Linked DNA regions of Neurospora crassa OR74A. The protein of the gene in region 3 interacts with the protein of the main gene of each other region in a pairwise test. Links are inferred from orthologs where the notes say so. Each region holds a gene or a part of one and is shown on either strand. Other genes may lie near its edges. The genes, in order: NCU08903, NCU04455, NCU08951 and NCU01612.

Region 1 (3,060 bases), about 5.1 Mb from region 3:
TCGGCCATACGTGTTGTAGGGACAGTCGCCACAGTCGACGCGGGGAGAATGTCGACCGCAGCAGTGAGCGGTGGCCGAGTCGAAGTAATAGGACCAGGCGGGGATACGTCCGCCGTTAAGGGTGGTGAGGCGGTAAGCAGGGCAGCGGGGGTCGCCGGCGAGGGCGGAGGGGCAAAAGTGGGAGATTATGCGGCCTTGACACATTTTGAAGGTATGGTTATCTTGGGATGGATGGGGTTTACCTTGGGATGCCTGATGGTGGTTCGGAGTAGTGGTTTGTTGTTAGTTGTGGGATGGGGGTGGTTACCTTGGTTTTTGGAGTGCTCCTTTTCTCGTAAAAGCTGGTTTGACGCCTTGTTGATTCAAGATTTTTGGTTGTCGTGAGGATGAGCGAGACCATTTCGAATTGTGGGATTGGGGTGACGGAATCATTGAGTATTTATGCTGGTGTCAAAGTAATGCTGTAGGGATTGACAACTAAACTGTTCAGGATACTGAAATGAAGCAACGACCCTTGTGTCCGGTTCAGGGGAGAACACTCCCGGTGAATGGGAACTTGTGAAGGGCATTATTGTTCGGCATTTTGTGTCATTCTGCCGGTAGAACAGGAGTAAAGTTTTTCAAGAGACATTGATCATGGATATGTCCCAGACAAGGTCTGAACAATGGGGACACAGCGTATTGCCGTGGCTTGATCATGTTGATAGGCCACGGGAAAGTGAGAAACAGGGAGACAAGAACTGTCGTGAAGTTCAAAAAGACATTGTTCTGGAGGCCTTTGTTCGCGGCACGTTGATGGACTACCGTGGTCAATGAAGTGTGAATCCGTACCCGCGGCGCACTGAACCATGATTAAAAAAATCTGTCCAATGACCGTTGCCCGCGGTGCAGAATTGAGATTCAAGAGTTCAAGATCTGGAAGTTCCGTGCCTTCCCATTCCATAGCAATGACAATAGGATGAACAGGGGATCGATCTCAAAGCCCCACTAATTCCCATGTCCAGTTAGACGTGCCTTGCAGTGTGGGGCATCTGGCCCTCCACCGCCTGCCTTAAGCGACAGCAGCGCACAGACCACTCCATTTTTCGTTGCAGTTTCTTTTCCATTGTCGGCGCGGCAACGTCGAAAATTATCGAAAGGCAGGAGATTTGAATCTGACAACTCTCACGACAATCACCACACACATCTTCCAGCTCGCCAGACCATACCAAATCACCCTACACACATTCAAGCCCGTCAGCTCAGACAAAACCGCCAAAATGCATTTGATGTACGTCCCCGCCAAGAACGCCGACGGCAAGCCGCTCGCGCGCCAGTACACCCTCAAGAAGGTCCTCGACGGCCAGGTCACCAAGAGCGCCCACCCCGCTCGCTTCTCTCCCGACGACAAGTGGTCTCGTCACCGCATCACTCTCCGCCGCCGTTTTGCGGTCCTTCTCGCCCAGAGTATGTATCTTCCCACCCACTCAATTGCCAGTGAAATGGAGTCGAGCAGCGGCTGACGTTCCCTTTTTTTCCGCTGCGAACAGAGGCTCTCAACAAGACCACCGAGTAGAGTGACCGTGGCCAGCGGGACCCATTGACCGAAATCAAGACCAGGTTCCATGTCAATGCTGCCACCCGTCTTTTGTTCGCGTCCGGCGCGAGACTCGTCGGTCCAGACGATGCCAACACCCACAAGAACCTTGTTAAGATGATGGAAGACGAAAAAGACAACTTCAGGACAAAAGCCGACAACCACAAGTTCAACGCCAAGGCCGCCGTCTTCTCCTTCATGTTAGACCAACACATGCTCAAGCAGGAGGATAGTTTCGACAAGAAGATCAAGGCCATGCTCGAGGCCAACCACCCGGACGAGTACTACCTGGATCAGTACTGCCAGATGGTCAAGAACATGGAGAACTAAGCCGAGTTCAACAAGAAGGACGGCAACGCTTGCGGTAGCTACATGAAGTAGTTGACCAACAACCTCTCTTCTTGTCCGCCTACCTGCTGTGCTCGACCAGTTTGTTCTTGCTTCCACAACCACGACCTCGTTTTTGGCTGCTGCTCTCCTGCAGCGTTAGCATTTGATTGTCCCGTTGGATCTTCAATCGAACCGATCGTTGGCAGACGGTTTTCTTCCCTACTTGCAACAATTTGGAAGTGGAAATTGGCAATCCACGACGACCGGGGGGGCTCGCTTTGGTTTCAGATAATGACACACAAGACAATGATGGCACCGACAGCAGCAGCGGCGGCGGGATGGCACCCGGCTGACTGAACTGGCTTGTTCGGATTCTCTGGATCCCGGAGAAACACCTTTCTGATGCTTGGGTTATATTGCATGTTTTTTCCTTTTTTTTTTTCTTTCTTTCGGATTTTCAAAAACAGGAAAAGACAAGTTGGGCAGAGCTTGTCTTCTTCCTCCTCTGTGTGGCGTTTATCGGATACGGGATCTCTCCTTCAGTCTAGTCATTTGGCTAACTGGGATTTGGTTGGCGTCTTTTTGCTTGCTTCTGAGCATATAGTGTGGGAAAAACAATACCAATGACTTTCTCGATGATTTTTTTTCCCTCGGTCCGTTGATGATACATTGGTGGTCACAGCAGACCGTCCGTCCGCTCCTCACCGTGTTCACCTTCTCCTCCTATTTCTCCAATGAACCATGCATGACTTGGCGTGACCGCTCGCTCATTCTCTCTCCATGCCTTCCTTTCTCTCCCTAATCCCGTAAATCCTTACTCAGCACACTACTACCGTTCATATCAAATGCGCGAGGCCATTTACCATCCGGCTCAAGAAGAAGATTCCATTCCATTCCATTCCAGTCCCGACCAACACTACCTACCTACCTACCCACTGTACCCAGAAATGATACTACCATGCCATATATCAACAACCCAGGAAGTTACAAGCAGCCAGCCAGCCAGCCAGCCAGCCCAAGTCTAGGTAGTGTCGGTAGGTATCTACTAACCGGGCCTACCCCATGGTGCTAATTAAATCAAAAACTACCTACCTTAACAAATGGACAACAAAGCCAGACATCTCTCATCTCAACGCCGTCAGATCAAGGACATA
Region 2 (4,308 bases), on a different chromosome or scaffold from region 3:
CCCATCCTTTCCTTGTACGAAGAGTATCCAGACTCTTGTTCCGTTTTTCCTGCACCAATTGATGTAGGCAGAGAATAGTATACCCTAATCAATAGCACAAGCATGCTCCTTCTGAATGAAGGCCATGCTGGATGCAAGCAAAGGTTCGCTCAAGGAGCCATTCTTCTTCATAACCGAAAGTCAAGCCAGACCCTCTCCAACAAACCAAGAATACTGGTAGACATGACTCGGGACATGTAGATGGTATGAAGGTAGAGAGACCCTCAGGTGATGCGCTGTCAAGGCCACTGCGTGTTGCCTTCACAAATCAAGGATCGAACAAATGGTCGGTTGATTTCCTGGGAACAGCCACTGCTCTGATGGATATGTGTCTCAAGAATGGCGCCCGACGCCTTCATTGATATTGTTGGCGATCCACGCGGCAACTGGGTAGCTCGATTCATCCTATTTAGGAGCCTGACCGTATGCGTTGTGCTGTCCCCAATACTGCTGCTGCTGCTGCTGCTGCTGCTGCTGTTGCTGCTGTTGCTGAGGTTGTTGGGATTGTTGGGGCTGTTGGGGCTGTTGGGCATGCTGGGCCTGCAGCTGTTGGAAGAAGTTCGGGTTTACGTATGCGCCAGAGATAGGAGGTGGGGGCGGGACGCCAGACCACACAGGCGGGACGGTCGGTGCCTGATGAGGGTAGCTGGGAGTCGACGATTGTTGCTGGGGCGCGGAAGCAGATGATGACGAGGACTGTGGTGGGTATTGATACGGTTGGCCCTGAGCCTGATTCCACGCCTGGAAGTTGAAGTTAAAAGCTCCTGCAAGCTGAGGGGGAGGAACAGGTGACTGGGTCGAGGGCCGGGGGAAGGAAATAGGCGGCGGTGGGAATGGAATCGGGATATGAGGCCAATGGCCACCGGGCATCGGGGGTGCTGCTCCTGGGGTTGCGCCGAAGGGAGGCGGGGGGATTTGTGCATTCGGGGGAATAGGAGGAGGCAGCTGTGTGTTGGGGAATGGAGGAGGTGCCGAAGTGCTCTCGTAGCCTCCATAGGAAGGGGCGGCAGCACCACCACGTCCAGCACGGTGGCCACCAGGCTTCCGATCAGCACCACGGTATCCTCCGCGCTGGCCACGTCCGCGAAACTCGCCCCGGTTTCCACGGCTGAAGCCACCCCGCTGACCCTGAACACCATGTGCCGCGTTGAATCCGACCTCGGGCTTCGGTGGCAGTGATGGCGGCCCTCCCTGACCAAAGCCTACGGGCCTAGCGAGAGGCCTGTAGGGACCATCGTCATCCTCGTCGTAGTTAAGCGTAGCACTGGATACTGTGGGACTGTGGTCGAGGGTGGCACTGGATGCTGAGGGAGCATACGCAGTGCTTGGGGCGTAAGACTGGTCACGAAGAACCTGCTCACGCAGACCCCCGCGTCCAGCCTTTCCACCACGCTTCTTCATCTTTAGCTGCTTCTTGTATTCGGCTTCCTTCTCGTCGTCGGAGAATTCCATTTCATCGGCACCAACTTCTTCGTCGTGAAGATTGCTGGCATCGGTGCCCTTTTGTTTCTTGAGCTCCTGGGTGAAGACGTAATTGGCGTGTTCAACGGAGTAGAAGATCTGTGTGCCGACCTCCAGGCCAAGCTCCTTGATCTCATCCTGGTTGGCAAAAGCGCAAGTGTACAGCGGGCTTTTGACATTGCCGATGATTTCGGCCAAGGCGCCGATGACCGTCCTGTCTTCCTTGCAAAGAACCGAACCCAAGTCGAGCACCTTGACCTCGCCGGGGACTCTAGACTTCATGACCACGGTATTCTCAACAATAAACTCGACGTGAGCCAGAGGCTCAATCTTCATTTCGGGGGTGATGACAACCTCGGGCTTAGGAATGATCTCCTCGACGATCTCGTTCTTGGTCCGCAATGGCGCGCCAGCTCCTTTTCCTTTGTTGGGTCCATCCTCGTCTTCCTCGTCAAGGCCGGCCATGAGCATCCTGACTGTTTCCTCCACGCCCAACACGGGGTGCGCATCTTCGTCATCCGAATCATCATCGGATGAGCTATCAGAGCTCGACTCCGAGGAAGATTCGTATGGTGACGAATCCTCCTCCCACTCAGGGTGTTCCTCCTCTTGGACTCCGTCTTGATCGCCGTTGGTCATGTTTGCCGAACTGGCGGGAGCATCCAGCATACCATTGAGGGCGGCTTCGAGTGTAGAAGTGACGTCGGGGCTCGGAGGAGAGTCGAGGTTGGAAGCGGCGGGGTTCTCGGAGGCAGTTTGTTGCTTGTTGTCGCCGTGATTCGTCATGCTGACGTCTTCCTGTGCCTTTGCAGGCGTGCTGTCTGATTGCTTGGAATCAACATCCATAGCATTCTCATCCTTCTTCTCCTCCGTCTTTGGCTTTGGCAATCCAAGCAGTTGCGCAGGGTCAGCAGAGTTCACTGCCAGGACGTCCTGTCCGACGATGCTAGCGGCAGCGACAAGAAGATCAGGTGCAAAATTGTCAGCAGGGAGCTGCTCGTTTGGCCTTGCCTGGCCAAGGCCTGGAATCTGAAAGGGGTGTTCAGACATGGCAAAGCGAGGCGAAGAAAAGGCAGCAATAGTGGTCTAGGCTGAATGTAGTGTTGTTGTCGACGGTGACGATGAAGGTGAATGCTGGTTGACAAGAGGTGGCAATGGTGGGCGAATTGACTGTAGCACCACGCGTGGCACAGGGTGCTTCTTGGGAAAGAAGATGGGTGCGCCTTCTTGTAGATATCGATCAATTCAAACTGCGATATCAAATACCCAGCGCAATCAATCCTCGAAAAAGGATATGAAGATAAACACTCTGTGAGCAAGTTGATGGGATGGCGAAGGAAGGGAAAAGATTCAGGCAAAACAGCAACTTCCTTTGCAGGACCACTTCCTTATCGCGACTCTTATCGGACATACCACATCCAGAATTTGGGACATGGGCAAAAAAAAAAAAAAAAGGTTATCGAGCCAGACCCCTGTCGAATGGCGGGCAAAGCTGCAGGAAGCACGGATTAGATTTAAATGCGCTATTCTCTTTACAGACAAGCGCAGCACAAGCCCAGCTTGCCGAGCCTGCCTGAACCGACGTCTTCACGTGCATTGAATCCAATGCCTGCCTGCACCGAATCAAACCTCTGATGGAGCGCTGTCCAATTGCGGGAGTGACGCAAGACGAGCTGCTGAAAATCCCCCAACTTTTCTGTTATTGTTGAACGCCAGACTCTGACCAGTTGCGGGTTAAGTTGTGTTGTTGACCGCGGGCGGCTTATTCTGATAGCGCCAATGCTGTGACGACATTTCCTCCTTTCCTTTCCTTTAGCTTCAACTTTGTCTTCCTCCCTCCCAATTCCAACTTATTCTTGAATTCATCCAAAACACACCAGTTCCAAAGACAGCGACGATCCGATGCCACCACCTACCAGCGAAGCTCCCAAGAAGGAGTTTGTGCATCCCAAAGCCAAACATGCCAAGAAGCAGTTAGTGAAACCCAGCACCCATCACGATCATGACAAGCTTCCATTCTGCTTCACTCATGTCTGCTTGACATCTGTTGCTGGAACGTGTAGTTAACATAACGTGTCGCCAGGGCAATTCGAGATGCCTACGCGATCGAGCCCATCTCGGCCTTCTACATCTTCCTCGGAGCCAACCTGATTGCCGCTCTCTTCGCCCCCATCCAGGACTGTGATGAGACCTTCAATTACTGGGAGCCAACACACTATCTGAGCCACGGCTATGGCCTCCAAACCTGGGAATACTCGCCCGACTATGCCATCCGAAACTGGCTTTACGTCGCCCTCCATGCCATTGTGGGCAATATCCGCAGGCTGCTCCCTCACTCCAACAAGGTCGCCGAGTTCTACTTTGTCCGCTGTGTTCTGGCTTTCATCTGTGCCCTCAGCCAAACGCTCATGTGGAGGGCTATCTGCTTGGCCCTGAACCCGAGGATCGGCCTGTTCTTTATCGTGGCGCTCGTATTCAGCCCCGGTAATTTCCACTCCAGCACCGCCTACCTGCCCTCCAGCTTCGCCATGTACATGGCCATGCTTGGAGCCGCCGCTTTCATGAACTGGCGTGGGGGTCTTAAGACTTCCATGGCCATGTTCTACTTTGCCATTGGTGGTGTGCTTGGGTGGCCTTTTGCCGCCGCCCTTTGCGCCCCTTTCTTGTTGGAGGAAGTCTTCTTTGCCCTGGTCGGCGATAAGGATCGCTTCTTTGAAGCCGCTCATCGTGTGGTCCGCGGTGTCGTTGCGGCTGGTCTGCTTGTGGTAGGTCACATCTCTTTTTTCGCCATTGTGCCCTCTGCTTGTA
Region 3 (3,541 bases):
GGCATCAACGTCCTCGCTAAGCTGTTTGAGACTGTCGGCCTTTCCGTCTTCCTTACCTGGTGGGGAACGCGCACCAACCCTTTTGAGTAGTGGGTCACCCTATTGTAAAAGAACCTATCTACTACGGTATATCCTGTGGGAACAGTCTGCTGACATGGTTGAAACAGCGCCTCTGCTACCTCCGGATCGCCTACTCTCGGCCGGACAAGCTGGCGTGCCGAGTAAAGGGTCCTTTTTTGAGTAAGAGGAACTCTGGTATGGTTTAATGAAGTTAATGATAATGGGGAACTTGAGTATCGCACCTACAATTTGGAGTGTGGGCGTGTTCCTGGGCATTTCCTGTTTTTTTTCTTGGTACCCTCTGTATTGTATCAAGCTATTAGCATAGTATCAGCATTCCTGAGATGAATGGAAGACGCTGGCGATAACTCACTATTTGGCTCGTGTGCTTGTTGTCTGCTGGTGACCAGGAGTTGTCTTGCATCTGATTGAGTGTTGCGATGGTAGTTGGCCATGTCGATGTTGTGTTGTGTGTCGTGACATAGGCCAGAAGTACAGCCCGCGGCATTCGACCCAAAGACGCTTGAACATATACGAACTGGAAAATGAGAACTGATGAACTTGGTATTCCTTTCTCATATATACCGTACAAAATACAAGTGTTTACCCCGCAACGCCTTCCATATTTTAATGACAGCAAGTAGCCAGCGCCATAAATCCATAACCGAAACCAGGATAGACTAAAACCGTCAACCCATCAATGCTCTCTATCTATAGCTTAGATAAAAGCCCAGAACAACCAAGCCAGCCCATGGGAGCCGACCGGATGTGGTCAATGCGGAAGAGATGATGACCGATATCCGACAATCTTTTCGTGATGAGAGCGAGAGGTGGGAGGAGCCCGAAGCGGAGACAGAAATCGACATCGAGGGAAGAAAAGAGTGATAGAGGTTGTGATTAAGGCGTCACAAACTTGTTCCTCCTTCATCTGTTCCCCAAGCCCAGGCAAAAGTCCATCGAATAACAGTCTTTGCGCTCCCCGCCAGCGTCCAATCTCCAAGATGATCGGTCGCCTGTTTTCTTCTCTCTCAACGGTAAGACGGTCCGATTGTCTGAGCAAAAAGCACGTACGCACACGAACACTCTTGCAACAAGCAGACGCACAATCACACCGGCACCTGCAATAGTGTCATGGTCTCATGTGCTCCCGCTGTCGCCATCATGTCGTTGCAGCCTTTCATCTTTTGTGTGTTTTGTTTCGCTCGAGTCATTGCTCCCGCCAATTTAGGCAGTGCCCTTGACCTTGGCCTCGATCTGGAGCGGGTGAGTACCCTTGACCCAGGGCTCGACCTGGACGTTCCACTGTTTTTGCGCCGTCTTGACCAGCTCCTTGTAGGCCTCGAGGTACTCGGCAGGGTCGACCTTGTCGCCCTCCTCCTTGCCAGAGGACTTCTTGCCCTCGGGCTTGAGCATCACCACCGAGGTGGCGCGCTTGGTGCAGGCGGCAACGCCGAGGTCGGCGCGCGAGCGAATGTACAGGTAGGGAACGCCGTGCTCCTCGCACAGAATGGGGAAGTGCATGATCACGTCCATGGGCGAGATGTCGCCGGCGATGATGACGAGGCCGGGAGCGTCGGCGGGAGGGGAGGCGGCGGTCCGGAGGGGGCACTTCTTGATGGCCTTCTCGCACTCTTTTACGCCGCGGTGGATGGACTTGAGCTTGGCGCCTGTTTGTTTTTTTTAATCAAAAGTTAGCTTGGGTTCAGTACAAGTCGTGCGTGGGCTGCGATTGAGGAGCCTGGCAATGCAATTGGAGAGTAGTCACAAAACGTACCCTTCTTGATCAACTTGTAAATCTTCTTGTGGGTCTTGTCGTCGGCGAGGGGAAGGGCAAAGGGGACGAGGTCCTCGGCGGTCTTGACGACATCCTCAGGGTCGACGGAACCCTCCTTCTCGAGGTGAGCCTCGACGGCCTTGGCGAGCTTCTCGGTCTTCTCCTTCTTCTCCTTCTTGTCCTTCTTCTCCTTCTTGACACCGGCCTCCTCGCTCATCTTCTTCTCCTTCTTGTCCTTCTTCTCGGACTTGTCCTTCTTCTCCTTGATCTTGTCGGTGGCACCCATCTTGTCGGATTAAATGTGTGTGTGTGTTGTTGTTGGTGGTGGTGGTTGGGTGTGTGTAGATAAAGTTGGTGGTGGAGGGGGATGGGGTATCAAACAGGAATTAAAGAATGGTTATACAGACAACCACTGCAGTAAAGAGAAAAAAAAGTTACTGGGTTGGGGCGTCAAGGTATTTGGTATCGTGATGGGGCGGTTGATCGCAGAAATGGATTCTTCAACGCAGATTTTACTGGGTCCATCAAGTGACCCAGTCAATCAAAGCAGAGCGACGCGACCAAAAATTTGTAGGCCAATTGTAAAGCCGTTCCGCCCGGGGGCCGATAATGCAGGTGAGCGCCTGGAATTGGGTGCGATAAGAGGGACCAATTTTCCGATAAGCACGCGATAAGAGGAAATGTCTTAAACTTCCACCTTTTGCTTGGTGGGGCTTTCCATTCAGTACGACAGGGATTAGTAGTAGTCTTGAACTTAAACAAGGCCTGCTTCTAGCCTGCCGCAAACTGGCAAACAGCGGCAGTGCTTTGTCCTTGAAGGCCGGTTGCTTGCCTGCCCCACTAAATTTCTAGAGCTTGTGATACCTACCTCCAAGCGCATTCAGTGTGAGCCATTGACTCACCTCGACAATTCACTGGCAAAAAGTCCACAATCCCAAGCGACATTGGCCCAGTTCTGGAAGCTATTGTTGGAGAACCTTTTTGCGACCAGCAGCCTTGTCATTCCCCCCCGCCTATATCGATTTCATAGATATCCGTCCAGTACCATTCGTAAAGACCATACAGCCTCGAGCAGGGAACAGTCGCACTCTCACTTCGACATCACCTCCACAATACCTCAGTAGCACACAGAGTACTATACACAGCTCATCGCCATGGCGTCGTCGCAAATGAGCTATGCCCCCACGTTGGGCAAGCTCCTCAAGTCTCTCAACACTCAGCCCTTGGAGGCTTCTATCGAGGCTCTTATTTAGTACGCCTACGCCTGCTTCATATCTATCTTATATCAGATCCTAACATGGTTGGGCAGCCTCCTAAAACGTCGCCAAGTCAAGGGCGATGATGTCGCCAATGCCACAGCCCATATGCTGCTCCAGGTCGTCGCCAAGTCTAAGTGGCAGAACGTCGATCAGCTGCTCGCAAAGGTCTCCAACACCGGCCACAGACTTGCCCAAGCTGCTCCCACTGAGCAAGTCATCGGCAACGTTGTCCGCCGAGTAATGGGTCTTATTCGTGATGAGGCTTCCGAGGACAGAAATGCCGACGAGATGGGCGACTCAGTATCCGACCTCTCCCAGCTGCCCACAACGCCCACCATTTCCACAAGGCCAGGCCCCACGCCCCTCCGCGCCGCGACTCTCCCCATGTCCAAGTCCATGTTCAACCTTCTCTGCGTCTCAGAGACCGCACAGTCACCAGTTACCGGCG
Region 4 (4,162 bases), on a different chromosome or scaffold from region 3:
ATCTTCAAGTTCTCCTTCTCCTGCTTCTCATTGCTGTTCCCGGCGGAAGAGGTCGCACCGGTGCGGGCGATGTTCTCCGTAACGTGTACGAGCGGCGGGCGACTCGGCTTCTCTTTCTCGGTATCCTTGGTCTCTTCACAACGACCACTACCATCAGCTACCACAGCAGCAGCGGAAGAAGACTTGTTCTTTCTCTTCCTGTCTCTACAACGCCACTAACGCGCGCTGCCGCTGCCCTTGATGGCTTGCCTCCGCTTGACCTTGTCGGTGATACGAGTGAGCGCCGACTTTATCTCGCCCTTCTCAAAGGTATCGAGGTCGTAGTAGACGGGGGCAATTTCCTGGTTTACATAGGTCAGTTTCAAGATGCCATTGACAAAGGGAATTCATAAAAGGGGAATACGTACAAGAAGCCACTCAGGACGAATGTTGGTCACTGTCCTGACGTACTGCTTGGTTGTGAGAACGAACTCGTTATAGACGACCCAGTCGTATGGGCTCGTCACCGACGTACTCGGGTGGATCATGACGAGCTGGTCGTCCTTGACCGTCTTGTACACCTTGCTGTTGCTGCTCTCGCGCATGGCCACCTGCATGAAGAAGCCAGCCAGGAGCGCGCGGCGGATGTTGGTGTAGTAGTTCTTGTCCTGGAACGGCGTGCTGACCAGGCTAATGTCGTGCGTCTCCATAATACGCTTGAGCTGAGCCCGGACGTTATCGGCGCTCGACAGGTGACGGTATGAGAGGAAGTGCTCGTGGCACCAGCGCTTCATGTCGTCGCCATTGGTCTCGGCACCCTTGAAGGCGTGGTAGGCGTTCAGCAGCGTCAGGTGGTCGCCGTCGGGGTGGGCGAACTGCATCTTCATCTCGTCGGCCCGCTTACGCGCGTTGTTGGGGCGTACCCATATCGAAGGGACGGAGAGGAGGGACACAATGGAAAGGATCTCGTTGGAGCAGTAGAACTCGGGCGACGAAATAAGCATGACGGCGAGGGCGGGGTCAAGCGGGAACTCGGAAGCCAAACCACCGAGACGCGTAAGCTCACCATCGTCATCTAAGCAGGCGAGGTAGTTAAGCTCCTCCAGGGCGCGCATCATGGTCTCGGGCGCAGGAGGGTCCATGAGATCAAAGTGTACCAAATCCTCAACACCAAGCTTCTTCAACTCCAGAACAGTGTTGGCCAGGTTGGATCGGAGAATTTCAGGATAGGTTTGCTCAATAAGTTCCTTCTTGAAAGCCTTCTCGGTGTAAAGACGGAAGCATTTACCGGGCCGTGTACGACCAGCACGACCAGCTCTTTGCTGAGCAGAGGCCTTCGAGATAGGAGAAACCAACAAAGACTCAACACGAGAGCGGGGGTTGTAAATCTTTTGCTTGCTGAAACCGGGGTCGACGACGTAGACGATACCATCGATTGTCAAGGACGTCTCGGCAATATTGGTCGAGACAATGACCTTGCGACCAGGCCTGCCACCCTTGCGCAGGGGCTCGGGGGCCTTTTCGAAAATGCGCTGTTGGTGCGCAGGAGGGAGAGTGCCGTAAAGAGGGTAAACCTTCATGGGGCCAGCATCCGACTCGCGAATCATGTCGTCCACCTCCAAGCTGATTCTTCGGCAAGCATCCTCAATCTCCTCCTCACCAGTAAGGAACAGCAAGATGTCTCCCTCGGGTTCAGTGGCGTGGATCTGGAGGACGGTCCGTACGGCGGCCTCGAGGTAGTCACGCTCGGGCTCGGGGGTATAGAAGATCTCGACGGGATGGGTACGACCGGGGACGGCGAGCAATGGGGCGTTGTAGAAGTAGGACTGGAACTTTTGGGCATCGAGCGTGGCAGACATGACAATGATCTTGAGGTCTGACCTGCGGGCGGCGATCTGCTTGAGCAGGGCCATGAGGATATCGGTCGCGAGGGTACGTTCGTGGGCTTCATCGAGAATGATGCAGCTGTAGCGGGACATGTCGTGGTCGTGCATGGACTCGCGCAGGAGCTGACCATCCGTCATGTACTTGAGCATGGTCTTGGGGCCGGTCCGGTTCTCGAAACGAATGCTGTAACCGACTTCCTGGCCCAGTTCGACATCCAACTCGTTCGCGACACGCTGGGCAACCGACATGGCCGCCACCCTTCGGGGCTGGGTACAGGCGATGAGCTTGCCGTTCGTGTGGGGGAGCTCGTCGTAGAGGACGTATTGGGGGATCTGGGTGGTCTTTCCGGAACCCGTCTCACCGACGAAGACGAGGATCTGGGTGTTGTGGTACATGTCGAGGAACTCCTGGCGCTGCTTGTGGACGGGGAGGTCGCGCCTCACTTTGAGGATGTCGAAGTATCTCTGCGAGTGCGGCTGGCCGGTCCACGGGTTGAGCTCCGAGTCCTCGGCCTGGGCGGCCTGGGCGGCGGTGGTCTTGTGCCTCTCGAAGGCGTCGAGGGGCGATTCGAAGTCGCCATTGGTGCCGTTGCCGTTGCCGTCCTCGTTGAGATGGGCGAGGTAGGGGTTGTACTTTTCGGGGGCAGCATCGCCATTCTCGGCACGCTTGATGCGCTTTGAGTCCTGGTCGTTGCCGTCCATGTTGGATCTCTTGACGCCTTTGTCGTCGTGGCTGGCCATTGTGGTACCGACCGAGGGCAGCTGGCCTTTTTTTTATATCTTGTTTCTTCGAGCGAGAGGGGTGGGTACTAGGAAACAAAACAAGAAGACCGAACTGAAGGGGAAGAAGAGAAGCGGCGATAGGCAAAACAGAAGGCGGAGTGTCGATTATGGCACCTCCAGTGGCAGTGATGAACAACAGCGAAACAGAGTGGAGGGGAGGGCAGTGGGCAGGCATGCGAGGCTACAACTTTTTTTTTGTTTGATGTCAGGGCGATAGGTCAGACCTGGCCGGCAGTTCCTGGCCGCAGCGACTCTCGACCAATGAGGGGTCACAGTGATAAGCTTCAGTGGAGTAAGGAGTGTCTTTGGCAAGCGCTGATAAGCAAATCACTGTAGCATTGGACAGGACCCTGATGGGCACTAAGACGGTAATTTTCTACACTGTTCTGTAACTGTCAGGTTCACTCAGTTTGTTCCTGCTGCACGTGAAGAAGAAAAAAAAAAGAAAGAAAAAAAGAGGCAAAATGCAGGCAGGTTGATGAAGTTTGTGACATTGTGACATTGTGACATTGTGACTTTTGGCGCATTGGGTTTGTGTGCAATCTTTCTTTCACTCAGCTATTTCATTTTCCATGTACCTATCCATCTATACCCCTCCATACCTGTTTATTTCGAGTTGGTGACCGTTGAGGTTGGACTTTTTCCTCTGGTGCTTCTTCCCTGGAAATATCCACTGCCATGGGGTCAGTCCGTTTTGGGAAAAATAAAAAAAAAGTACCATCCAACTTTGATTTCAGTCTTTACAATTTTCCCTGTGATTGGGTCCGATACCTCATCAAAGTACAGCCTATACATTCTTCTACTGTATACAGGCCCCAGAGACTAGTATAGCTACCTTCTCCGTACCCCTCCCGCTGCTGTTCGTACCACCTCAAACCTAACCTGGACCATCGCGGGGTTATTTACTTCTAGTCTCGTCCACTCTCTTTCACTCACTCGGATTCACATAAAAGTCCAGTCACTCACTCATCATGTCTTCAAATCGCGGGTTTAACCCCGAGTCCGAGTCTTTCGAGCAACGGCCGCCCTTTTACATTGGCCAGCATGATGTCCAACGACATGAGTCGCCCACTGACAATCAGTACGGCCAGATCTTGGACAGTGGTGTAAGTCTTTCCTTACATTAAAGTAGGAAGAGAAAGAAGAACGAGCAACAGCATAAATTCTAACACACATGAGATGAGAATAGTTCAACTTTGTCACCACCCCCATCACCAACGAGCACTTTCACCAGCGCGTGATCGACTTGTACAAGAGCCATCTCCAAGAACGGGAACAGTGGGTCACCGAACGGGGACTCACTGACGCCCAAAAGGCCAACCCGTCGCTGCCACTTCCTACGGTTCCTACCTTGACTGACGACGATACATCCCTGTTTCCCAGCAGCTATGTTGGCTCGCTCATCGCCTATGCCAGCCCATGGATCGACCTCTGCTCTGCCGATCCCATCATCTCAGACATCTCCCGTCAGGTGCTGAACCTCGAGCTCGCCTACGCCAACTTCTGCGGCTCCA

Evidence for each region.
Region 1: the proteins of NCU08951 (region 3) and NCU08903 interact in a two-hybrid assay, tested with the Saccharomyces cerevisiae proteins (2 studies listed by BioGRID, with this or other methods). The link is inferred for Neurospora crassa OR74A from reciprocal best matches to the Saccharomyces cerevisiae genes NHP2 and NOP10.
Region 2: the proteins of NCU08951 (region 3) and NCU04455 interact in binary tests that used the Saccharomyces cerevisiae proteins (3 or more experiments, as listed by UniProt). The link is inferred for Neurospora crassa OR74A from reciprocal best matches to the Saccharomyces cerevisiae genes NHP2 and NAF1.
Region 4: the proteins of NCU08951 (region 3) and NCU01612 interact in binary tests that used the Saccharomyces cerevisiae proteins (3 or more experiments, as listed by UniProt). The link is inferred for Neurospora crassa OR74A from reciprocal best matches to the Saccharomyces cerevisiae genes NHP2 and PRP43.

The regions. Positions count from the first base shown.
Region 1 is NC_026505.1:695,472-698,531, reverse strand, and holds NCU08903 (Nop10 family nucleolar RNA-binding protein), read left to right. Parts: upstream 1-1,205; 5' UTR 1,206-1,268; coding exon 1,269-1,446; intron 1,447-1,529; coding exon 1,530-1,555; 3' UTR 1,556-2,544; downstream 2,545-3,060. Other genes in the region: NCU08902 (hypothetical protein), read right to left, coding at 1-204.
Region 2 is NC_026504.1:3,301,284-3,305,591, forward strand, and holds the start of NCU04455 (hypothetical protein), read right to left. Parts: upstream 2,838-4,308; 5' UTR 2,551-2,837; coding exon 445-2,550; 3' UTR 1-444. Other genes in the region: NCU04454 (mannosyl transferase), read left to right, coding at 3,403-3,473, 3,584-4,265. UniProt on the Saccharomyces cerevisiae protein: RNA-binding protein required for the maturation of box H/ACA snoRNPs complex and ribosome biogenesis.
Region 3 is NC_026505.1:5,798,322-5,801,862, forward strand, and holds NCU08951 (ribosome biogenesis protein Nhp2), read right to left. Parts: upstream 2,374-3,541; 5' UTR 2,121-2,373; coding exon 1,835-2,120; intron 1,728-1,834; coding exon 1,285-1,727; 3' UTR 536-1,284; downstream 1-535. Other genes in the region: NCU08949 (hypothetical protein), read left to right, coding at 1-89, 168-225; NCU08952 (translation regulator GCD7), read left to right, coding at 2,989-3,086, 3,144-3,541. UniProt on the Saccharomyces cerevisiae protein: Non-catalytic component of the H/ACA small nucleolar ribonucleoprotein (H/ACA snoRNP), which catalyzes pseudouridylation of rRNA and is required for ribosome biogenesis.
Region 4 is NC_026502.1:2,956,860-2,961,021, reverse strand, and holds the start of NCU01612 (pre-mRNA splicing factor ATP-dependent RNA helicase PRP43), read right to left. Parts: upstream 2,831-4,162; 5' UTR 2,607-2,830; coding exon 408-2,606; intron 342-407; coding exon 216-341; 3' UTR 1-215. Other genes in the region: pp-2 (protein arginine N-methyltransferase HSL7), read left to right, coding at 3,620-3,754, 3,838-4,162. UniProt on the Saccharomyces cerevisiae protein: Pre-mRNA processing factor involved in disassembly of spliceosomes after the release of mature mRNA.